Drosophila melanogaster: one gene and its partners. The protein of the gene in region 1 binds, or shares a complex with, the protein of each later gene. Each region holds a gene or a part of one and is shown in the gene's direction. Other genes may lie near its edges. The genes, in order: Caf1-55, E(bx), Nurf-38 and mip120.

What was found.
Region 2: Caf1-55 (region 1) and E(bx) share a complex: the UniProt entries of both Drosophila melanogaster proteins name them as parts of the NURF complex.
Region 3: Caf1-55 (region 1) and Nurf-38 share a complex: the UniProt entries of both Drosophila melanogaster proteins name them as parts of the NURF complex.
Region 4: Caf1-55 (region 1) and mip120 share a complex: the UniProt entries of both Drosophila melanogaster proteins name them as parts of the DREAM complex.

The regions. Positions count from the first base shown.
Region 1 is NT_033777.3:15,223,907-15,229,489, forward strand, and holds Caf1-55 (chromatin assembly factor 1, p55 subunit), read left to right. Parts: upstream 1-1,669; 5' UTR 1,670-1,986; coding exon 1,987-2,008; intron 2,009-2,059; coding exon 2,060-2,620; intron 2,621-2,730; coding exon 2,731-3,440; 3' UTR 3,441-3,658; downstream 3,659-5,583. Other genes in the region: CG31344 (uncharacterized protein), read right to left, coding at 1-481, 836-1,028, 1,177-1,240; Art3 (arginine methyltransferase 3), read right to left, coding at 3,745-5,273, 5,338-5,359. UniProt on the Drosophila melanogaster protein: Core histone-binding subunit that may target chromatin assembly factors, chromatin remodeling factors and histone deacetylases to their histone substrates in a manner that is regulated by nucleosomal DNA.
Region 2 is NT_037436.4:243,264-249,661, reverse strand, and holds the start of E(bx) (enhancer of bithorax), read left to right. Parts: upstream 1-2,749; 5' UTR 2,750-3,279; intron 3,280-3,338; 5' UTR 3,339-3,445; coding exon 3,446-3,734; intron 3,735-4,186; coding exon 4,187-6,398. Other genes in the region: mthl14 (methuselah-like 14), read right to left, coding at 12-130, 185-261, 320-743, 797-986, 1,041-1,460, 1,546-1,661. UniProt on the Drosophila melanogaster protein: Histone-binding component of NURF (nucleosome remodeling factor), a complex which catalyzes ATP-dependent nucleosome sliding and facilitates transcription of chromatin.
Region 3 is NT_033778.4:24,557,877-24,563,511, reverse strand, and holds Nurf-38 (nucleosome remodeling factor - 38kD), read left to right. Parts: upstream 1-2,424; 5' UTR 2,425-2,451; coding exon 2,452-2,659; intron 2,660-3,101; coding exon 3,102-3,220; intron 3,221-3,286; coding exon 3,287-3,682; intron 3,683-3,737; coding exon 3,738-3,889; intron 3,890-3,947; coding exon 3,948-4,057; coding exon of another isoform or gene 4,058-4,089; exon of another isoform or gene 4,090-4,360; intron 4,361-4,379; coding exon 4,380-4,411; 3' UTR 4,412-4,545; downstream 4,546-5,635. Other genes in the region: CG11414 (uncharacterized protein), read right to left, coding at 1-485, 543-1,106, 1,170-1,315, 1,374-1,652. UniProt on the Drosophila melanogaster protein: Component of NURF (nucleosome remodeling factor), a complex which catalyzes ATP-dependent nucleosome sliding and facilitates transcription of chromatin.
Region 4 is NT_033778.4:13,508,047-13,515,037, forward strand, and holds mip120 (Myb-interacting protein 120), read left to right. Parts: upstream 1-1,571; 5' UTR 1,572-1,650; coding exon 1,651-1,681; intron 1,682-1,742; coding exon 1,743-3,190; intron 3,191-3,248; coding exon 3,249-4,162; intron 4,163-4,250; coding exon 4,251-4,390; intron 4,391-4,457; coding exon 4,458-4,783; 3' UTR 4,784-5,066; downstream 5,067-6,991. Other genes in the region: mEFTu1 (mitochondrial translation elongation factor Tu 1), read left to right, coding at 1-1,167. UniProt on the Drosophila melanogaster protein: Component of the DREAM complex, a multiprotein complex that can both act as a transcription activator or repressor depending on the context. In follicle cells, the complex plays a central role in the site-specific DNA replication at the chorion loci.

The DNA.
Region 1 (5,583 bases):
GAGCTTTGACTCCGCCCAGTTCCTACCGCAGATGTTGTACTCATCCTTGATGCCCAGCAGATAGCCGAGAACGCGCCACATATGCGTAGTGGCCTCCAGGAAGTCCTGATCTTTCAGCTTTATGCGATGTGCGCCCATCGTTATGAAGCCAATGAAACCGAACTGCGTGAGCGCCAAATCCTTCTGGGTGATCTGTCCAGCTCCTTGGCGGGCGCACGCATGACTGGAGCGGCTGTGGGCCCGCCTCACGGCCGCAATGCTGGTCCAGAACCTGCTGCCACGGTCCGCGATGTTGTGGTTATACCAGGCTTGCGTGTGGAATATAGTACGCACATAGCGACGGTAGGCGGTGAACGCTGTCGAGGATTGGCGTGTGCACGACAGCACCCGGAGAATGGATGGAATAGCCAGCACGGCAATAAGACCAGCCAGCATTCCGGCGTTCATTACAAAGCGATACGTGCTAAAGTAGCTCTGACCACTGCAAGGAAAAGGAATAAAGAATCAATTAAGTAATTCGAATGCAGTTATATTATTTAAATTAAAATATACATATACATACATGTACATATACATATATATTGTTAAAAGTAAATGTATGTCGCCTTTTGTTATTAATATGTAAGCCCGTAGGTACAAAATTGGAATAATGAGCACAGATAAAGATAAGTATTATATGCTGCCTTTTCGCATTATTATTCACATAGCAAACTGCTACATAACTCCAAGCTTATAAATAACCCATGTGTATATGGATATTGTAATTATCACAATTATTTCTACTGTGGTTACTGGGCTAATATGCAATCAGTGAACAATTAGTCACGCAACTTACCGCCTGAATAGCTGCTCATCGTACCACGAAGGTAGCTCCAAATCAGCACCGCTGTCGCCCTCCTGACTGCCCTCCTTCATTAGGTGCTCCAAGTAGTCCTCGGGCTCCTGGTGATCCTGAAGCAGTTTTGAAGCCCCCGCTGCATTATGACCATCTTTGGAATGCGATGACGACTGCATTTTCCCACTGATCCCTGGAAAGTGACGTGCGATGTAGAAAACGAGCTTGAGGTCCAAATTCGGATTACACAAGTGAAAGAAAGAAAAGACAAACAAAATCGTCGGCGCGCCAAGAGAGAAAGTTTTTCATTCAACCCGCCAACAAGTCCACTGTGCACTTACACGTTTCACGCTTCGCGGGATGGGGGATCTCGGATGAGCTGCTGGTACAACCATCAACCTGCATGTCGGCCAAATTATTGCTTGTTAAACTATTTAGCAAACTCAATAGTTCAGCTCGTTACGTGCAAAAACATTTTGCATACACAATTGGAAAAAAAGCGTTGAGGATGAATCACGGCTGCCCACCGTCGTTGCGGTTGGGGAACTTAACTGCAACTGGCACGTTAGGCTCGTCAAATAAGAATGGAAAGCCGGTCATTGGCGCGTAAACTGGTTTCGAATCATTCGCACTGATAACGAATTAAGTAGTAAACTTTGTTTATGCACTTTAGTGTGCCCGCAACTGCAACCGTTAAAATATACCTTTTAAAACCCCAAATATATCGATGTAAACCACAAAATACTAAAATCATGACGCAGGAACGTAACAAGTATAAAAATACCGCGCAGTGTCATCTCCATAACTCTGTTATCGTTATCGTAATCGAATATGGCAGTCGTCTCGACAATCTTTAGCATTGCATCTCTATCATCGACGACGCGCTTGCAAAAAAACGAAGGAAATTAGCCAATTTCTATTTTGCCCTGACGTTACGCCGTTTAAAGTGTAAGTTCCCGGCCAGGATTCGACTCAATCCCTGCCACAACGACTTTCGGTCAAGTGTTCGTTGCGAGAGCTTTAACTACGTAGCGAACTTTCGTAGTTTTTCTGCACACGTTTTGCCGCTTCGGCTTTTGTTTTGGCGCCCGATTTTTTCGGCTGCCGACTTTTGACGCAGACTGAGAAATTGCGTGCCTAAAAGCCTCGAAATGGTGGATCGCAGCGATAATGGTAAGTCCGGTTAGAAGTTAATCGCCGCAATGTGTAACCATCGACCTTTAGCAGCGGAATCCTTCGACGACGCCGTCGAGGAGCGCGTGATCAATGAGGAGTATAAGATTTGGAAAAAGAACACGCCGTTCCTGTACGATCTGGTCATGACGCATGCCCTGGAATGGCCCTCGTTGACTGCCCAGTGGCTGCCGGACGTGACCAAGCAGGATGGCAAGGACTACTCGGTACATCGTCTTATACTGGGCACACACACATCTGACGAGCAGAACCATCTACTCATCGCCAGCGTTCAGTTGCCCAGCGAGGATGCCCAGTTCGATGGTTCGCACTACGATAACGAGAAGGGCGAGTTTGGAGGCTTTGGATCGGTGTGCGGCAAAATCGAAATCGAGATTAAGATCAACCACGAGGGCGAAGTGAACAGGGCCCGCTACATGCCCCAGAACGCCTGTGTAATCGCCACCAAGACGCCGTCGAGTGATGTCCTGGTCTTCGACTACACGAAGCATCCCAGCAAGCCGGAACCGTCTGGCGAGTGCCAGCCTGACCTGCGGCTGCGCGGTCATCAAAAGGAAGGCTACGGACTCTCTTGGAATCCCAACCTCAATGGTAAGTGCGTAGCTGTACCTAGTACTTATATATTAGCTCAGATAAGAGCTTGACACATCTAAAATGCATTACGTTTTAACCCTTAATGAACATCTTGATTGTCCTTACAGGCTATTTGCTGTCAGCCTCTGATGATCACACCATCTGCTTGTGGGACATCAATGCCACACCCAAGGAGCATAGGGTTATTGATGCCAAGAACATCTTCACCGGCCACACCGCCGTTGTTGAGGACGTGGCTTGGCATCTGCTACATGAGTCTCTGTTCGGATCGGTGGCTGACGACCAGAAGCTGATGATCTGGGACACGCGCAACAACAACACCTCGAAGCCCTCGCATACAGTGGACGCTCACACAGCGGAAGTCAATTGCTTGAGCTTTAATCCCTACTCGGAGTTCATTCTGGCCACGGGCTCCGCTGACAAGACTGTAGCTCTATGGGATCTGCGCAACCTCAAGCTAAAACTACATTCCTTCGAGTCGCACAAGGACGAGATCTTCCAAGTGCAGTGGTCGCCGCATAACGAGACTATTCTCGCCTCCTCCGGCACTGACCGCCGCCTACACGTCTGGGATTTGTCCAAAATCGGCGAGGAGCAGAGTACGGAGGATGCTGAGGACGGACCACCCGAGCTGCTCTTCATCCATGGCGGTCACACTGCCAAGATTAGCGATTTCTCGTGGAACCCCAATGAGCCATGGATCATTTGCTCCGTGTCCGAGGACAATATTATGCAGGTCTGGCAGATGGCCGAGAATGTTTACAACGACGAGGAGCCAGAGATTCCCGCCTCCGAGTTAGAAACCAATACCGCTTAAAGCATCTGTTCCGCCTCCTATAATACACACCAAACTACAACTGAATCCGATAATGTTTTGGCCGTGCCCCGTGTCCAGCTATCCAGCCTAAATGGCAATGGGTACTCATTTTAATTTATATATATTTACATATTTTTAAAAACAAAATTTAATTAAGCTCTCATTTGTCAGCAGATTGTACAATCTATGAATTTTTAATTAAAAATGATTAAAAAGTCAAGAAATGAGGTTAATTTTTTTGAAATTAAATACCAACTTAGATCTTCAAGCGTATTTTATTTAATTCTATTCAAAAAGAAGCACATTAAACCACATTGTATTTGTGTTTCTTGCCAAAGACTTCTATGTCCACACTAAGTCCTCTGACATCCTCTTTATGTCTTCTTGACGTGATTTTCCCACAAATGACGTCTCCTTCCTTCACAACCTGCGGGTTCTCGATGAAGAAAACCGTTTGCTTCCAATGGGTGGGCGTCGCAGATGGTGATGTGCTGAACATGACGGGGGAGGGTAGTTCAAACAATGTTTCAAAGTAACCGACAAAGGCGGATAATCGTCCCGGCTTCGTGACCTTTAAGCTAAACTGGTGAGTAAAGTTTGGATAGTTCATATCGACGGTCATTATGTCGAAGTTAGCTATCTGTTCGGGTTCCGTCAGCATGAACTCTGCATCCACCACCTGCATGAGTGGCTCCTCTATTGATTGCTTTCGCAGATCGCTCATGTCGACCTCGTAAACGTTAGACCAGAATTCCACTTCATCGGCATAAAGCGTGTCGTCTCCATAGCCCAAGAGACTGAGTGTACAGCGACTGGGCAGTATTATGCCATTGGGGTTGAGGTGATTCTCGCGGGCGTAGATAATGCTGTCCAGCATTGATTCGTACAAAAGAAAATAGCCCATCCATTCGGATATTATAATGTCGTATTTAGTCTCTGGGAGATCTGTGTCCTCCAGCCGTCCCTTGATCAGTTCAACATTCTCAACCTTGTTCTTCCTGATGATATCCATGGCGGTGTACACAATGTCCGAGTTATCTATGCCGACAACGCGAGCTGCACCCGCTTTGGAGGCGAAGATGGATAGGATTCCCGTGCCGCATCCCACATCCAACACTGTCTTGCCCCGAACAACGGCCTCGTTTTGGAGCAAAGACGCGCGATAGGTGCTGGTCCGCACCTTGTCGCTGAGCATTTCATGGTGAATGCCAAAGTGGGCGTAGCTTTTGAAGTATTCGTTGTCGAGACAAACGTTGTTACGCGGTACGCTCTGGTCGGAACCTTTGGGCTCGCCGTCAGCATGTACCTTTTGCAGCAGCGCCTTGTAGTCGTTGCGCATGCGTTCCATGTCCTCGTTGGCCTGCTGCAGCAATTGCGACTGCTCAGCAATCCGCTGTTGTAGCTCCAGAACCGAGGGCTGCGTCGGAGCGCCGTCTGTTTTAAGGACTTCGTAGTCATAGCAGAGCCAGGGCTCATACTCCCCGGGCTGGAGGTACTTCTCATCCTGCCAAAGCGGATGTTCCGCAGACAATAACTGCTCGGCACTGATCTTTTTGGCTCTTATGTAGTTTATCAGTTTGATAAAGGAATACTGGTCCATTTCGAATTTACGCTGAAGCTGGGACAGATTCACTTTATGCCGGGCGTCAAGATGGTCAATGGCCACCGAGATGTTTGCAGATGTTTCGGTGCAAAACAGACAAGTGGTTAGCTCATCGCCTTCGTCCATTGGCTCATCATCGTCATCTATGTCATCGTACTCATCTTCGTCGGAGCTGGAATTGGCCGGCACCTCAGGTGCCTCCTTCACGGGCTCCTCCTCTGTGGTGTTGTCTACATTGGGATGGGATTAATAAGTAATCATCTCCAGGAAATAAAAGCTTTTACGGGCTCGAACCGTTGACCTCGGTGTCTTTCATGCTATCTTTGTTTGCAAGTCCTATTGGCCTGCTTTCAGAGAAAAGAATTCAAATCGCACGACGAAGATCACAAATTTATAAATGCCAACTAAATGGGGTTTTGAGCGGCGCGAACACGTGCGGAAATTTGGAAACGAAAATAGCTTAACGCGTTTTGGTATACTTGAAATGTTGCTTTAGAGGGTATCGCAGGGGATATATGTTATAGAATAACTTTCGACGAC
Region 2 (6,398 bases), on another chromosome or scaffold:
TCTGCACTCACTCTTTTTTAACATCTTCATATTTTTGTTGGTCAAACAAGCATTTTCGCTCCTGAATGTTTTTTTCAGCCTTGGCGTAGCCGCTTATACGTTGAAATCCGAAGAACGATATGATGTTAAGCTAAGAATGTACAATTGCATAAAACAAAAAACAGGTACGAAAAGAAGTGCTTACCAAAAAACTTAGAAAAAGTATAGTAGACACTGGAGGAATAAAGTAACGTTGGGAATCTCGGATGGATTCAGTTAGGCCTTTAAATAATACATATGTTACTACTTATACTTTTAACTATTAAAGTCAATAACTTGCCTTGCAGAAAGTAAGACGGCATTCCTGGGAGTCCTTTTTGAACAGTTAGTGCAACTATTGTGGCCGGTCCGGAAAAGGCAAAAACAGCGTAACACGCAAAATTAAAGGTGGCCCAACTCTTTGAGCATTGAATGCAGCAAGGCAACTTGTACCACACATTCAAAAGAACATTGAAGCATATGCACAAGTACCAGAAGAAGTAACTTAAAATACAAAACTGTATGACGTAGCCAATGAACCCTTGGTTCGGGATCCCATAGATGTGCACAACGGAGTGCACAAAGTATCCAGACGCCAAGCACAGAGACATCAAACTTAGCGAGAGACCATGCAAGTTACGCAATAAACGAAGTGTCATGTGCAAATAACTAACTAATAGCAGGCAGGGCATAGATATAAGCATAAGAACGGCAACAAAAACGACCTGAAATAATATTCATCCGTTGGTAAATAGAAAATAATGTTACATTGACTTACTTTTGCGAAGGCAATTTGTTCTTCCACTTGGGTTACACATGTAAAGGCAAACAAGTGTCCTGACTTATCAATATCCAAGCAATAATGTTCCTTCACAGTGTATGATTCGTTGCCAAATTTGTCGATGATTAATAACGAACCGTCTTGCAGAACAAAGAAAACATCGTCTTTGTCGTCGTACAAAAGAGAACTAATTTTGCAGAAGAATTTGTACTTTGATTCAATTTAACATTCGCTTTCATACCTGTTGCACGGATTTCCAATGTCGTAGTCGAGCGTAGTCTCAACCTCCAAATCTTCAATGCAGTTATCGAACAGAACTGCACTTATTATAGTCGGTTCGAAGCTTAAGAGCCCGTTGTCGCACATCGAATCGCTTTGATTTTCCCGATATATATTTAAGTTTTCTCCATGTGGGCAGCATTTTCTTAAACGAGACGATGGTGTTGCAACTGGTTGCTTTCTGTACTTTTCCCGTTGAGAACAGTCCGCCGGATCTAACGGGTTGTCTACAGGACTTTGAACAGGAACAGAGGTTGCGAACCTAGCACCTGATATTGTTGCAGCTTCTGTCGAATATGTTTGAGGTACAACCAGTGTTGAATGTATTGAGGCGTCCAGAACGTCAATCGAAGTGCTATTGAATGTGTCTTCATGGAAAATACTAAGCAAAGCAAAATATATTATAGAAAATGCAAAGATTCCAAAATTAGTATTTTTCGAAAACAAATATTTTGAGTATTTCTTACTTTGAGTTGTTTGATCCCTTCGAACTGTTATTTACAGTGCTTATCTGTGCGGAGGCGTTAAAAAACGTTTGTAAACTGATTAGAGCTAGGAGAAAATTCCAGTGGCCTAGATTCATATTGCCTTTTCAACCAATCTACAAAAAATATATAGCATAAAATGAATAAAACAAAATTGCCGAGTTCGTTTACACAGAAAGTATGTAAACAAACCAAATTTTGACATTAGTTAGGTGGTGTGGGAACTGGTAAGATATGGGCTATCTTATCTGTGTAAGATACCAGTAGAGTGCGTTATCATAATATAACACATGACGTCAGACGAATGTGGTAGCACATTCCTTAGAATTGATCAATACTCGGAAAATTACACTCATCAACTTATACAAAACCGCGTTAAATGTCAATTTTTGCGCACTGATTATTTGATTAGATCATATTTTATTCAATTATTGTATTTTTAAAAATAAACTATTTATGGCAATTATTGTTTACGTACATGTCAAATAATTTATGCTTGCTATTTAAAATGCAACCACTGAGCTTGATTAATAAAGTAATACTAGCGAAAAAGAAGTTTTAATTCTGCAATGGAATCACTTTGTGCAGGCGATAAGATAACGATGTTTTCAGGGCTTCAAAGCAAATTGTTTACCCTAATTTCTTTAACAATAACACATTTCTCAACAAACACAATTAAAATACTTTAATTTAGTATTTTTAGAATAATTTTTTAAAAAATTTAAGTAATAATAATATAAAAACCTTTCCCAGTAAACAAAAAATCGTAACGGCAACTTATTATCGATAACATTTTTAATGGATTTTTCGTGGTCGGCAATTTACGAAATGAGATCACCAGGATTTAAAATGCGAAATTGGGTAGAATGTAATACACTAAAATAAATTTACAAAAAAATACATTTTTTTTACCGCATCAAAAATACCGTTTTAATTTTTAAGATAGTGAGCAAAGGTAAGTTTATTTTGATTACAAGTTAACGGGTTTTCTTTAAACGCCCGCTCAACACGTCGATAAAAATAAAAATACATCTGTCAGTGCGGTTCAGCGTAAATGCCAAAAGCAACCCTGCCTATATCGTTTGTGCAACCATAAAGAATTAGTTCTCCAAGCCGACCGCAAGAGGACGCTTCTGACTTCACGCAATAGAAGAGTCGCTGTGATTGGCCGACTGTACACCGTCTTTAGCTATGTTCAAAACTGTAATGTTAGGTAAAAGTCTCTTTCGCAGTGTGCTGAAGATAGTTAAAAATATTAGAATATATCGTGTTAAATCCTGTGCAATTATTCCGCAACATGCTGGGTAATTTGCGCAGTTAATCCATGTGTTAATTGTGAAAGAAGAGTGACATTTAAACAGACGCAAAAATTTTCACGGTTGCTTAAATGGCGGACAATGTGCGTTGGCTTCATTTCATCGCACTCGCACACATACAATCGAACTTGGTGGTGCTGTCCAGTGCGTTTGCCGTCCAACACTAGAAGCCAAGAATGTGTTTTGAATACATGTACTTAATGTATTTAATCGGAACCGTTATTCTGAACTAAACAAGCTCTTTTGGCGGGTTTTTTTCAACTCCAAATTTGCGCAATACAAAGAAAGTGAACACCCAACGACAAACTTTTGACGATCTGATCGATTTTTCCCCCACATACGCTGTTGAGTAAATGTGTGTTTGAATGTGCCCCGTAAATACATAGCTAGCTGAGTGCGAGTGAGATGCGGTGTGCGTTCCTGTGGCACCGTGTACTAATGGGTTAATTTTCGTTTCAGATCTAATGTGCAGCCTCGCAGCATTAACTTGGAACAATATCTGAGGAGAGTACCCCCACGCACCCCTGCACACAGCCAGATAAATACGCAAGGCGAAAACAAACAAGATGAGCGGTCGCGGCAGCCGTAAACGTGGACGTCCGCCAAAGACGCCCAACGAACGCGCATCAGGACGCTTCAATTACCAGCTTCTCAAGAAGCCGAAGTATCTCAGCGAGGGAAAGTCGCAGCCCAGCACTCCGTCGGCATCCAGGGGCATTTCTCCACAGAGCGACGAGGGCAGCAGGAGCAGCCACAACAACCACACCAATCGCAGTCGCGGGAGCGCCGCTAAGAGGGGACGAGGCCGCAAATCCGCCGTGCAACCGAACACCAGTAGCTACTCTGGAAGGAAAGGTGGGTTAAAGGGGCACCTAAACTCTAACTTGGGAGTCAAGACTTACAGTTTCGCTCTGACTAGTTCGAAGATTAATAGGGAACATAATGTGCCATATATTGATTGCAGTGGAGAAAACTTTGATCGTTTTGAATGGTACTCATACTTCAAACGAGTTTTCCTGTGCGTTAAAGAGCTTCCGCTTCATAAAAGATCAAATTTAATATTTTCGTGACAACCACTACCGGGCGAGTCAGTTTCGATAGGTCTATCTGCTCTAATACCAACGATTATTTTTGAAATCTTACGACAAAAAATCTTTCAGTCTAGTTGGCATGAGTTTAATAACAATTACTTAAATACAATTCAGTAGAAATTGGGTCCACAATAGCAGTGACAGTATGTCAGGTTTTATGCACTTAGGTGTTGGTGAAATCATATTGGTTCTAAGAGCTACTGTTCCTCTTTTCAGGGTACGAGTCGGAGTATCACTACGGGTCAGATTTTGGGGATTCCGAAGAAGATAAATCCGATAATGAGGATGATATGCTGCTTACTCCCAGCGACGACGAGAGCCTAGAAGTAGCCAACGAGAGCGAATCAGAGTTTTCCGTGTGCAGCTTTAACCAAAATGGAGTTGGTCGGCCGCCACGTCCTCCTAGCCCAGAACCTGTGTGGCTGCAGGAAGGTCGTCAGTATGCAGCGCTTGATTTGCCGGACTCGTCGGAGGATCTTTTCATTGCTAATACACACGTTTTGCGCGCGCTAAGTATCTATGAAGTACTGCGACGATTTCGCCACATGGTCCGCCTTTCACCATTCCGATTTGAAGACTTGTGTGCAGCGCTGGCTTGTGAGGAGCAAAGTGCATTATTGACGGAGGTACACATAATGCTGCTTAAAGCGATTCTTCGAGAAGAGGACGCGCAGGGTACACATTTTGGCCCGCTGGATCAAAAAGATACGGTTAATATAAGTCTTTACCTGATTGACTCTATAACGTGGCCGGAAGTTTTGCGAAGCTATGTAGAAAGCGATAAGACATTTGATCGCAACGTGTTTCACATTTTAAGCCACACTGAATACCCTTACACGGGCATTGACAACCGGCTTGAAGTGCTCCAGTTTCTGTCAGATCAATTTTTAACTTCCAATTCTATACGAGATGTAATGCTGCAGGAGGGACCTATTCATTATGATGACCATTGCCGAGTGTGCCATCGGCTCGGTGATTTATTATGTTGCGAGACGTGCCCTGCTGTCTATCATTTGGAATGTGTAGACCCGCCAATGAATGACGTACCTACTGAGGATTGGCAGTGCGGGCTTTGCCGCTCGCATAAGGTAAGTGGCGTAGTGGACTGCGTGTTGCCACAAGAAAAACAAGGCGTGCTAATCCGGCATGATAGCCTCGGTGTTGATCGTCATGGGCGCAAATATTGGTTTATTGCACGTCGCATTTTTATCGAGGATCAGGAGAACTTTACATGCTGGTATTACAGTACGACAAGTAAGTTAAAATTGCTGCTCAGTCGACTGGACGCCGAAGAACTGGAAACTCGTCTGCATAGCCAGATTACAGAAAGGAGAGACGAAATCGAGCGCCAAATGAAACTGACTGAGACCTTAACCAATGAACACAAACACACGAAGCGTAGTGTTATCGAAATCGAACAAGAGGCTAAAAATGAACTTTTGGAGAAAGAGGTGCTTGACGAGGATGAAAAAGATGGTGATGCTAAATCTGAGAGTCAATCTATAGAGGGAACAAAAAAACAAGAAGAATGTAAAATGGTCACGCGTCAAAAATCCAATCAGCTGACTAATGGTACTTTGCATTTTAAACTTGGCATGGAGCAAGGATTTAAGAACTATGTCAACCAGTATTCAACAAATCCAATTGCACTCAACAAGCCGCAACGAAACGAGGAGCGAGATAAGCGACGCCATCTGTCCCATAAGTTCTCGTTAACGACGGCTTCTGACTTTAAATGGATCGGTATAACCATGGGAACTACTGACAATATGATAACAACTCTAAGGCAAACATTGATAAACTTCGAATCCAATATAGCAGCTTCCTTTTTAAATATTAACTGGGTAGTTAACAAAAAAATTTGGAATGCTGCGGTGATGAACGCCCGTCGACCTTCTGAATTTGCGGTAGTATTGTTACTTTTTCAAGCGTCCCTTAAGAGCGTTGTTTTTGCCAACGTCTGGCATGAGCAACTCGGACACACAACTTTGCAACGCATAACTAGTGCCGAACGAGAGGAGCGAAAAAAACTAGAAAAGCGAGAGAAGCGCGAGCGGGATGATGAGGAAGAACGTAATCGCTTAGCATTTAACTACATAAAGTATACCCTGGGTCTCAAACATCAAGTCTGGAAGCAAAAAGGAGAAGAATACCGGGTCCACGGGCAATGGGGCTGGCTTTGGCTCTCAAGCAGTCGACGCTGTGGTGTTCGTGCACGTCGAGCCCAACCTCTAACACACAATAGAGTCTACGTACATTACACCATGGGAGAGGAAAACGACGTAAATGAAATTATTTTAGTCGACCCACGCACCCAACGGTTTATGCAACAATGTGAGTCAAGCAATGTCGATGGTCAGGTGTGTCATTATTTACCGGACCAATATAAAAATGTGAAAGTTATAGAAGATGTTACGGAGAAAATCAA
Region 3 (5,635 bases), on another chromosome or scaffold:
TATCCTCCTCCAGGTTGCGCAGATTCTTCTTGTTCCCCTTACCCGGTAATGCAGGAAAGTCTACCTGCGGCGTGGCTGCCTTTTTGGGCACGGCTGCTGATCGATTTGACACATGCAGGAGCATTCCGTTACCGGGAGGCCCACTTCGACTGCCAGAACCTGCCGCGCTTGTGGGTTTCTTAAAGACAGCTGCCACGGGGTGCTGCGATTGAGCAGCCCGGGCGGCAATGCTGCTGCTAGTGGGCCCAGTAACACCACCTCCATTTCCTCCTCCCAGAGCCGGGAAGTTTTCTTTGGTCCGAGCAAGACCAGAAGTTCCACTAAGATTGCGCATCGAGGGCGGTGGCGGTCTCACCAAGGATACGCTGGGAGCTGTGGAAGCGCCTCTCAATGTGGGAAACTGTTCCTCGTTGCCAGCATCAATGCTCACATGGCGCTGGGTGATCGAAGGCAAATCGTTCTGGTAGTCGTTGTGCTCGTCATTCCTGTAAGGTTTACCATTCTAAGAGTGCCTTCTTCAAATTGGATGGCCGCTCACTCACCTGGTTCTCACGCTGGTTATGCCCTGCTCCGTCTGCCCACTACGGCCACGAGGCCCCAAAGTGATCTCCACCTGCAAGGTGCGCGTCTGCTTGGCCTGCTGCTTGTTGAGCGACTTGCCGTGCACGTTGGCCACGTGCGCCTTGTACTCGATTTCGTTGCGGAATGCGCCGACAAACTGCTCGGTGGCGCACTTACCCTCCTCGCAGAGAAAGTGCTCCGCCCGGAAATGTTCCGCCAGATCCGCATAGTCATTGTAGAACTCATTGCAACCATCGGCGTCGCAAAAGTGGCAGAAGTAGTGCTCGCGGCGCAAATGACGGAACAACTCATCACGGTCCACATAGCGTTTATTGCAGTATTCGCACAACGGATGACCGCGATGCGACCGATTGTCCGGATCGCCCTTGGTGTTGTGTAGCTGCAGCTCCGCCTGAGTGTAGCACCTCCGTTCGAAGGTGAAGATATTGAGGGTCTCGACGCATAGGTCACAGTACAGAAGTTTATGCTCGCTGCGAACATGGTTGCGAAGGCCCTCGAACGTGCGGTATGGAGGTGCATCGCATCTGCAATTTAGCGTAGAAGGGTGAGCCTCAATGGTGCAACTCAAGTGCGGGCAGAATACTCACTTCGGGCAGGGATGGTCGAGCAATTTGAAGAATTGCTGTCTTATCTCTGCGGTGCAGAAGCCGATGCGGTACTTCTTGCTGTATAAATCAGAGCGGTTATTTGCCTCCAGTTCGCGATAGGGCAGCTTGTCCAGTGTGAACAAAACCTGCAAGTGTTTTAGAATTAGATAGAGATTCGGTTCTCTAGACAAGCGCAGGACTTACCTTGGACAGGACGTGGCGGCAGATGGGGCACTCGTTCTGCTGGCAGAGAACCCTCATCCGAGTGGAGCACTCGTAGCACACGGGATGATCACAGTCGCCGATGGAGAAAATTTCCACGTTTTTGAAGCACACCACGCAGGCGTTGTCGTCGTTGCCCGTATAGCTCTCCAAGGCCTCCGGCTTGACAGCAGCGTTATCAGTGGTGGTGTTGGCCACTCCGTCTTTGGGACGGCGGTGGAACGACGGCCTGGCCGAAGATCTCGGTTTTCCGTTCTGCATTTCACTAGAGATTTTGCAGTGAATGGAGGGGGGGAATTTACTTGTTGCCACGGGCACTTGAAAATGTACGTGTAACGACTGCTTTCGGATAAAAGCTGGGGTTTCTTGGATCCCCCGGTTTGTTTACTCTTTTGGAATATCTCGTCAGCAAAATAAAGGGGAATTTTTGCAACGCCAACTCGAAAGCAAGGCAACACGCACACACGACAGACGAAAAGAAAACTCAGAATTTAGAAAACTCGATTGCCAATGTTATCGATGACACTGCTCGGATCCCCGATAGCACCGATAGTTCCCAGTTGGAAGCTTTGTTAATGTTAAGTTAACATGACCAGAATTCGGACAATTTCGCAACGATCAGTAACCAGTACAAGTAAAACCTATTGACTTCGAATTTATAAAAAATTCAATCACTTATATGAAACTTTTAAAATATTTCTAAGTGCTTCTTCTGCAGGTATGAACATATTCAAAGCATATTTTGTTTAAGTTTTTACGATTTGACAAAAACTAAATAATCTTTAAGGTTTTGATAGTTGTCTTATTTATACTGTAAATAGATTTGTATAATAATTATAATTACAATATTGTATTTTATATTTAATAATAATAATTATAATGTTATAGTTTTCATATAATAATATTTATAATAATAGTTCTAATTGTATGAAAAAATGAAGTTCATTCTCCATTGGAATGGATGAAATGGAATCGAGCTATACATTTTCTGAGCAGCACTGTTAACTGTAAAATCGGGTCCTATCGCCCTATCGATAGACTCAACTCAGGGCTGAAGAAAATGTTGGCGAAAATTACAAGGAGTTCATTTTACGCTTCACGTGCGGTTGGTCGCTTGTCCGGCTCGATTCCAACGTCACCAGCGGCCCTTGCCAGCAATTGCAGATATATTCAGATAGAACGGAAGCGCACGAAATCACACGAGATGGCTCTGTACGAAACCGTTGAGAAGGGCGCTAAGAATTCGCCGAGCTACAGCCTGTATTTCAGTGAGTAGAGTAGCGCATTGGGGGCCAAATGTGAATGTGACCCGGCTTAACCCTTTGCTTGCGCATTTGCAAGTTACCCAAACTCGGTGCAGTTAATGCACCTAGAATTAGTTGATCGGTACCGGAATGGTTATGCAACAGGTCAAACCGGACTCTGCTTATTTAACTCGACGCATTATCAGCACTATCAGCCGATCCGATTTGTCTTGCGTCGGAAATGGCGGAAACACCAAGAGTTTCGGCCCCTTTGGGCTTATCTCTTTCCTTTATTAGCCCATATTCCGAATAGCAGATATCGAAACTGGTGGCTGAATTTCGGTTTACTGGCACGCAAATTAGTGACCTTTGTCTAGCCGACAGGTCCCCGGTCACTATTAATCAAATCGCGTGTCCAGGTGTCGCCCATATATCAGGCATAATAATTTCTGGCCATTCTCCACAGAAAACAAGTGCGGCAATGTCATCTCGCCGATGCACGACATTCCACTGTACGCCAACGAGGAGAAAACTATCTACAACATGGTGGTGGAGGTGCCACGTTGGACCAACGCGAAAATGGAGGTCGGTCTGCCTGTCCCTAAGATTCATACTTCTGAATAATACAAAAATTGCATGTCTGACCCTTAGATTAGCTTGAAGACCCCTATGAATCCCATCAAGCAGGACATCAAGAAGGGTAAGCTGCGGTTCGTGGCCAACTGCTTCCCGCACAAGGGCTACATCTGGAACTACGGAGCCCTGCCCCAGACCTGGGAAAACCCCGACCACATCGAGCCCTCCACCGGCTGCAAGGGTGACAACGATCCCATCGATGTCATCGAGATTGGCTACCGAGTGGCTAAGCGCGGCGACGTGCTGAAGGTCAAGGTGCTGGGCACCATTGCCTTGATTGACGAGGGCGAAACCGACTGGAAGATAATCGCCATCGATGTGAACGATCCGTTGGCCTCGAAAGTCAATGATATCGCCGATGTGGACCAGTACTTCCCGGGTCTGCTTCGTGCCACCGTTGAGTGGTTCAAGGTGGGTGGAATTCGATTTTCGGACGATTCCCTCTCTTACCCTTTGCATTTCGCAGATCTACAAGATCCCCGATGGCAAGCCTGAGAATCAGTTTGCTTTCAACGGCGATGCCAAGAATGCGGACTTTGCCAACACCATCATTGCCGAGACCCACAAGTTCTGGCAGAACTTGGTGCACCAGAGCCCCGCATCCGGGTCCATCTCCACGTGGGTTAAATGCCATTTTATACATTTACAATTAATCCTAAGTACGTCCGTTTCGCAGCACCAACATCACCAACCGCAACTCGGAGCACGTCATTCCCAAGGAGGAGGCCGAGAAGATACTGGCCGAGGCCCCCGATGGCGGCCAGGTCGAGGAGGTGTCTGATACAGGTAAGGTTCACTATATTAGATCGAACTTATAGCTGCTTCACCCGATCCCAACCAAAAACACACTACTCCAACACACGCTTTAACCACCAGTAACTTGCAAACAAATTGGTTACACAAACACAACCTGCACGCTTACTAATAGCTACTTTAATTGTCCAGTTAGCAAGCTAAATTGAGATTACTCCATGCTGTAAATACTGCTGAAACCCAATTTATGTAATTGGCTTGCTTGCGTTCGTTAATCGTTGTACATATACTTTATACTGAATGTTATCCTGAAATAAACCCTTTTTATACCAATTTACGTCCTTTGTAATTGCAGTCGACACTTGGCATTTCATTCATCTCAAGTGAGATGTTCTCCTGGGCTGATTCCATCACAAGATCCATGATCTATCTGTAGTCCAATCGAATCGAAAATGCTTGCACTTGTGAATTATTAATACTGAAATATTATCGTACGTTGAATAAAGTTTTGCACCGCAATCAAATTCGCTGTCGATTCCTCTTGAAATATACAATCTTTATTTATATTTTACGACTAGATCCAAACAAGTTTAAATTAATTAAAAGTTATGTAATTGTAAGGCATTGCAATACTACATAGAATCGAATCGAATTATGCCGTGTGGTGTTGCTCAGATGTGATTTCCGTTCTATTGCAGGAGAGCATGTGTGGGAAGGTGTGGAACGTAAAATTTATTGCCGTAACAAATTAACTTAAGCTTACGAAATAAAAGAAATGTACAAATCAGTTAGGCGTTATAAATATGTATAGAAATCTTTAAAAGAAGACAAAAATAGTTATATACATCAGACATTTTGATTCTTGTTCGTTTGTTCGTTCGTTTTTTTGTTTGCTTGTTTTTTTTTTGTTTGTTTCTTCTCATATTTGATTCTTGGCATAACTTTTTGCTTTCCTTCTGCGCGAAGAACTAAAAGAAATAAGCATAATTTACGTAATTCACTACAACTAAAAGCTCCACGAGACTGTTTCATGACAGATGATAGAAATAACATATAGACCAATTTAGACTTTCCGATATAAGTGCGGATAAGTAGCGTGTAATAGTTTAGTAATTGTCTTCATAATTTTTTTTTCAACATTTTTGCTCTGCTTTCTCTTGTAGCTAGATGTTAGCTTAGTTGTTTCTTCAAGTGGTACACATTCCTCGGGTCGATCGTTTCCTGGTTGCCATAGTTTCGTGCCGTGTTCTGCCACAGTTATCAATAATAATAGTTTTAGTTAATAGTTCATAGAATTAAGTAGCTGCTCGTGCCAGTGACGGTGCCAGAAAATCCCAGAGAATCGCACTTTACTTGCGACCCAGGGTATCGCGCCATTCGTTATACTTGTCCATCTCCTCGTGCAGCTGAAGAGCCTCTATGCAGGCGTTGAAGAAGGGCGATCCGAAGCATTCTTGCCTGTGTTCAAAAACAAAAGGAGGAGGAGGAATTAGGAAACCTGATTTTTTTTAATTTGGTGTATAGCTTGCTCAGAAGAAAAAAGAGCCAAAGTTCAAAAGCCATATTCAGGTATGGTTGAATATATCACAAAAATTATTGTTCTCAAAATCT
Region 4 (6,991 bases), on another chromosome or scaffold:
ATTACCAAGGTCCTGGCCGACAAGCAGCTGGCCGAGAGCAAGAAGTACAATGAAATCGACAATGCGCCCGAGGAGAAGGCTCGTGGTATTACCATCAATGTAGCCCACGTGGAGTACCAGACGGAGACGCGTCACTACGGCCACACAGATTGTCCGGGACATGCCGATTATATTAAGAACATGATCACCGGCACAGCCCAGATGGATGGCGCCATTCTCGTTGTGGCCGCCACCGATGGCGCCATGCCCCAAACTCGCGAGCATATGCTGCTAGCCAAGCAGATCGGCATTGATCACATCGTGGTGTTCATCAACAAGGTGGACGCCGCCGATGAGGAGATGGTCGACCTGGTGGAGATGGAGATCCGAGAGCTGCTTACCGAGATGGGCTATGATGGTGACAAGATCCCTGTGGTAAAGGGCTCGGCGCTGTGCGCCCTCGAGGACAAGAGTCCCGAGATCGGCAAGGAGGCGATCCTGAAACTGCTCCAGGAGGTGGATAGCTTCATCCCCACGCCTGTGCGCGAGCTGGACAAGCCCTTCCTGCTGCCTGTTGAGAATGTGTATTCGATTCCCGGACGCGGCACCGTCGTCACTGGTCGCCTGGAGCGCGGAGTGGTCAAGAAGGGCATGGAGTGCGAGTTCGTGGGCTATAACAAGGTGCTGAAGTCGACGGTGACGGGCGTGGAGATGTTCCACCAGATTCTGGAGGAGGCGCAAGCCGGTGATCAGCTGGGAGCTCTGGTGCGCGGCGTTAAGCGAGATGACATCAAGCGCGGCATGGTCATGTGCAAGCCGGGCAGTGTGAAGGCACTCGATCAGCTGGAGGCCCAGGTGTACATCCTGTCCAAGGATGAAGGCGGTCGCACAAAGCCCTTCATGTCCTTCATCCAACTGCAGATGTTCTCCCGCACCTGGGACTGTGCCGTGCAGGTGCAGATTCCCGATAAGGAGATGGTCATGCCCGGCGAAGACACCAAGCTCATTCTGCGCCTCATCCGGCCAATGGTCCTGGAGCAGGGACAACGCTTCACGCTGCGTGACGGAAACCTGACCCTGGGCACTGGTGTCGTCACCAGCACTCTGCCCCCATTGACTGAATCGCAGCGATCCGAGTTGACGGAGGGCAAGAAGGCGCGCGAGAAGAAGGTGGCGGCTAAGAAGTAGATCCCCGGAACGCCGTCAGTCATTAACTAAAATCATATTCTTAAGCGATTTTTATGCATATTGTATAAGTTGTTGGCGCTCCAATCACAATCGAGTAAAATATAAACAAACACCTATGGACAACGAAGTTTTAAAACTTGGAATATTAGTAGGGATCTTAAAATTGATTTAAAATAGTACGGCTTTTAAGTATTACTGTTGTTGCCTGACATTTCGGCATTTCAAAGGACTATTTGTTATATAAAGTTATGTAAGTAAGCATTGATCATTGATAAAGGGCAATATTTAATTTAGGCGCCACTCATCGATTGCTTATCGCTCTATGTTAACGGCATCCGAAATAGAGTGGTATCGAAATGGAGCCGATAAAATCAAACAAGGCCGATAATAACCTGACTACGACATTTTACAACACTGCTGCAACCGCCTTGAACGCAGCTGATGATAAAGAACATTTTGAAATTGATTTGAAAATTGGCAAAAATGAGTACCTACCGCGTAGACTACTTGACCGGTAGATTCAAGCACCGTAAACGTTTGTTTGCAAAGTAATTAATAACTTATTTTGTCCGCAGATTCCCTAGACGACACGGAACCATTGCCGGAGCTGAGTTTTGAAGACTTTTTGGAGCCAACGTCGGAGAAGAGTTCCCAGCACATGGAAATCGAAGCTCTGGACTCAGAGGAAGACAATATCGGCGGTGAAGATCTGGCCGATCCGGCCAACGATTCCCTGAACACGCCGCAGTTTAAGAAGAACGTGGTCCACATACTGGAGGACAAGAGGTTAAACTCGTCCGGACTAACCGTTTTGAAGTCGCACGCCATTAAGATGGTGACTGCCGGAGGTACTCCTCCGGCCAAGGCGCAAGTTACAGACGTAAAGATACTAAACAAATTGAAACCAATACCCAGCAGTACGCTAAAGATCGGTAGCACGACCATAGCGACCAAATCCACACCGGGCAGCATAACCAAGACTTTGGGCAACTTGACCCAGATTAGGACGAAAGATGGCCAAGTCATCTTTGTCCAGAAGTCTGTTCCTGGAACACAAAGCAGCACTGCGGTGACAGGGTCACCAAGCGGTGGAATAAGACGCCTCGTGGCGCCTTCTGGTATCCAGAAGGCAGTGCTTTCTAAGGGCGTGACCATGGCAAGCACGGGTCTGGTCAAGGCGGCTGTTCCTGCCAAAGCAAGCACCTCGGTACCCGGCTCAGCCATAACCTTAAAGGGCATCCAACCGCTGGCCGGAGGCACTGCGAAGGCGTCGACTTCCAGCACGACGGCAACCACATCCCCATCTTTGGCACAGCCCAACAAAATTCAGGTGGTGCGCACTGCCGATGGCAAAATTATCAAGATCAATCAGGCTGGTCCCTCACTGCTGGTGAACGCCAAACAGGGAACTGGGACCACAGTCACACCAGGAGGTTCTGCCGCCACTTCTGTCAAACTATCTCCCTCCACGGGAAATGTGGTGCTCAACAAGCCCGTTGGCCAGGTAGTGGTGAGAACAGAAACTCCTGTAAAAACGGCGACGGGCTCCGTTGCCAGTGCATCCGCAACACCGGGCAAGATGTTGGTTCAAAGTGGCGGCAAACAGATTCTTGTATCCAACAAGAACATCATTAAGCTGTCGCCGAATGCGAGTGCCACCAGTTCGACAACCCACACGACGGGCGGACAGACACCTTCCACCTCGAGCGGATTGCACGCTATTCAGCTGCCTGGCAAGGGAGGAATACAATATGTACGTGTCCTGAACAACAATAAGAGTGCCGCCGGAACAAGTGCAACAGCCTCAATCCCGAAAACAGTGCAAACTCAGAAGATCACTGTGGTGCGGCCACCGGCTGCTACTGGTGTTCCTGCCACATCTACTACAACATCCGCAGCAGCAGCTTCACCTGCAGCCGCATCGAAGGCAAACCTTGCCATGGGCAACACTAACAAGATTGTAATGCGATCAATGGGTGGCAGCATTGTGCCGCTGCCTTCCGTGCAGACGTTGGTCTCAAAGGTTGGTACTTGTGTTGGTACAAATTTATTTCATTCTAACTCAATTTCCATCTTTAAAGCGTGCGCTGGGCGCCATCTCCAACGCTTCAAAACCAGCCAGTGCGGCGAGCAGCAGCGCCACGCCGAGTGCCAGCCAGGAGTTGCCACGCAAACACCGTCTTACTGATCTCAATGTGCAGCTAAAGCAATCGGCCTCGGTCAGCAGTGAAGCTAGCGACAGCAGCGATGCGGGTCCTGAGGCCAAAAAGCCGCGTTACGTTATTACCATGCAGCAAGGATCACAGAAGGCAGCTTCCCAGCCAGTTCAGAAACTAATTAATCGGACAGCGAATGTACAGCGTGTGGTGTCTAGCAGTACAAGTCCCAGTTCCAACTCCACAAAGAAAATCTACAACTATGTTCAACCGACTGGAAGCAATGGGGCCAAGTACATGATCTGTAACTCGGGTGTGCCCCAATCATCGACGAGTGCCATGCGACGGGGATACACTGGATATGTGGAAAACAAGACGCGACGCCCGCCACCCATTTCCCCGCAACAGCACCGCTTTAAGCAGATGGGTCCCCAGCAGCAGTCCAAGCACCAGCAACTTCAAGCGCAGGCCAAGCAACGGATTAGACAGCAGCAACTGCCTACCGAACAATCGACGCCGATCAAGGTCGAGCCAAAGTTGCCGACACTGCCTCCGGGGGTGAAGGCCAATGTACCTGCCAAGCCGCTCTTTGAAGTCCTAAAACCTCCAGCAACCGCGGCAGCAGCCGGAGCCGTCGATCCATTGGGCGGCATGACTTCGCGGCGAAAGCACTGCAACTGCAGCAAGTCGCAGTGTCTAAAGCTTTACTGCGATTGCTTTGCAAACGGCGAGTTTTGTCAGGACTGCACCTGCAAGGATTGCTTTAACAATCTGGACTACGAAGTGGAGCGGGAGCGTGCTATTCGCAGCTGCCTCGATCGTAACCCCAGCGCCTTTAAGTAAGTTTATTTGAAAGGAAAAGCTTATGAGGTCTATCCTATGTTTCTAAAGATGCTAATCACAACTACTTTTTTTTTTTTTAAACAGACCCAAAATTACGGCACCCAATTCAGGTGATATGCGTCTGCATAACAAAGGTTGCAACTGCAAAAGATCGGGCTGCCTCAAGAACTATTGTGAGTGCTATGAGGCAAAGATTCCCTGCTCCAGCATATGTAAATGCGTTGGTAAGTGAACTGATAAATCTGTTTTATCTATGATCAAACTAACTGAATCAATCAACTTATTATTTAGGGTGTCGAAACATGGAAGACCGTCCGGACGTGGACATGGACTCTCTGGACGGATTGATGGGTGTCGAGGGTCAGAAAAAGGACAAAGCTAAAAACAAGCAATTGAACGAGAATCGCGCAAATATATATTTTACGGACGATGTCATTGAGGCGACCATCATGTGCATGATATCGCGGATTGTGATGCACGAGAAACAGAATGTGGCCGTGGAGGACATGGAGCGCGAGGTTATGGAGGAAATGGGCGAAAGTCTGACACAGATCATCGCTTTTGCCAAGGAAAAGCAAGAAACCTCTCAGATAGACGAGTCCAAGCCTTCTTCTTAGGCATGCAAATATAGTCACACATTAATTAGTTTATAAGTTCAAAGAGTTCTTGACCTTTTCTCAATCATATTCTAATTTTGGCTTTCTAAAAGTTGACCTTAAAGTAAAGTGTTTACCCTATTTAAATAATTTAAACACAAAATGTATATATCATACATAGCAAATTTCAGATATAAGGCTATTTTAATTTTTGGCCGAGCATTGTAATTGTGTTGTAAACTTTTCCCTTGGATTGAATGTAAATAATTTAGATACCTAATAAAGTTTAATGACCATTGAACACAAATGAAAAGAGACGTTGTGTTGTTTTGTAGCTTGTTTATTCACCAACAACTTCAGTTACATATTTGTATTTTGCATTTGCATTGTTTCAAATTTATTGATGGGCGAGTATATTAAACTCAACGCAATTTAGTTTGGTTTTTCACAATATCGGTATCAGCTTAGTTAGCAATATCTCTATAAAATAAACACATGTCGAATGACTACAGTATAGGTAATGCATATATTAGTTGATTGTATTGATAGTAGGTATTTAGTTTTGTATATATGTAGTTTTTTTTGTTTAAGTATAGTTATATATTCTACTTGGTCACCATTGGTATGTATAAATAGCATATAAGTATGTTTGTGTTCTGGTTTCTCCCGGTTCTCACCCTATAAACATGGCATGGCATGACATGAGTACATATGTGTGTATGTATGTAGTTTCAAGGTTTGAGTAAAAATGTGATAATCGTTTAAGGACTATAGTACATATACGTGGTTAGTAATGCTAATATATATATATATATATATGCCCTGTTATACATATTTTTCATACACTGTTTTGACTAATATGCTCGCGCTAAACTATACGTTTTATTTGCGGTCATTCGAATACGAACTTTTTCGAAGAGAGAGTATGTGTGTGCGATTATCTTAAATAGCAAATACATACAGTAAACGTTGAGTATATCGATTTAAGGATAGTTTTGAATATTTGAATACTGTGCACAAAACGCTTTGGTTAGTTGCATTAGCATTGTTTGTTTGTTTGACCCCATACCAGCTTTTTTTTCTTGTGAATTGTTAGTTACGTAACACTTATGCAACATTTGAACATAGTTAGGCAACAATAACGATTTGATTACGCATAATATATATGTATTTGTATTGAGAGTATGCTGAACTATTCAGTTAGAAGCTATATTGTCTAATTCACACGTTTATATTGAATGCTGGGCCCCCAGAAGGGGAGCTAAAGCATAAACTTACACAACAACTTTATGAAAACCGAACAAAACCATTTGCTAAATATCGTATATGTACGTTGGATTTGCATACCCTGTACAATGTCTTTTTCTTAGGTTGTCGTAATATTGTATATGCAATCATTGAAGAGTACCTTAATTGTTAAACGCGTGTTGCATGATTGAATTCGGCAATTCTTCAAAGCGTGAAAAGTCATAACGAACACAGCGTAGAATTTATGGATATTAGTTGAGTAATTCATCTTTCACAACAATAGAACAACGATGATAATCAGCAAGTATTTCAGCTATTCGTATATACAGTTTGTCAATATAACCTCATTGTATACCTGCGATTAACTACATTTTGTCGGCTTTCTTTAAACTTTTTCGACCATTACAGAGCTATAGTTTACTTTACACTACTTTCGATTAGAATTGCTGGGACTATATGCGTTCAAAATAATGATTTTCATTGCCCAAATGAAGAGGAGCATTAGTTTTAAAGAGGATTTTACGTGGTGATCACAACGCTTAAGGACACTTGCAGCCATTCAAGTGCCTTGCGGCAATATCCTTACGATCCAATACGATCTGGTTAAGTGACGAAATAATGTCGGTAATATTTATGGGCTAAGATCCGAAACTTTGGGTGGGAAGAATTGAAGTTATAATCAGTGGGTACTAGTCTAAATTTTGTAGAACACCCAATTTAGCGACTTTATTCCTCACTAGATAATTGCAAACTAAAATACAACTTAAGACTTCTATTCAAAATTGTGAACGCTTATAGACCCTGTATATATTTTTAGATTCTATGGAATGGTGTTTATATTCCACGTACCATTTGGCACCAAAAGCCTATCAAATATTCCCTTTTTTTGTCAGATAACTTGTGTGTGTGCTAATGTGGGCAACAATTTTACAAGATTCAATGATTATATATATATATACTTTATTTAACTTTAACAACTTG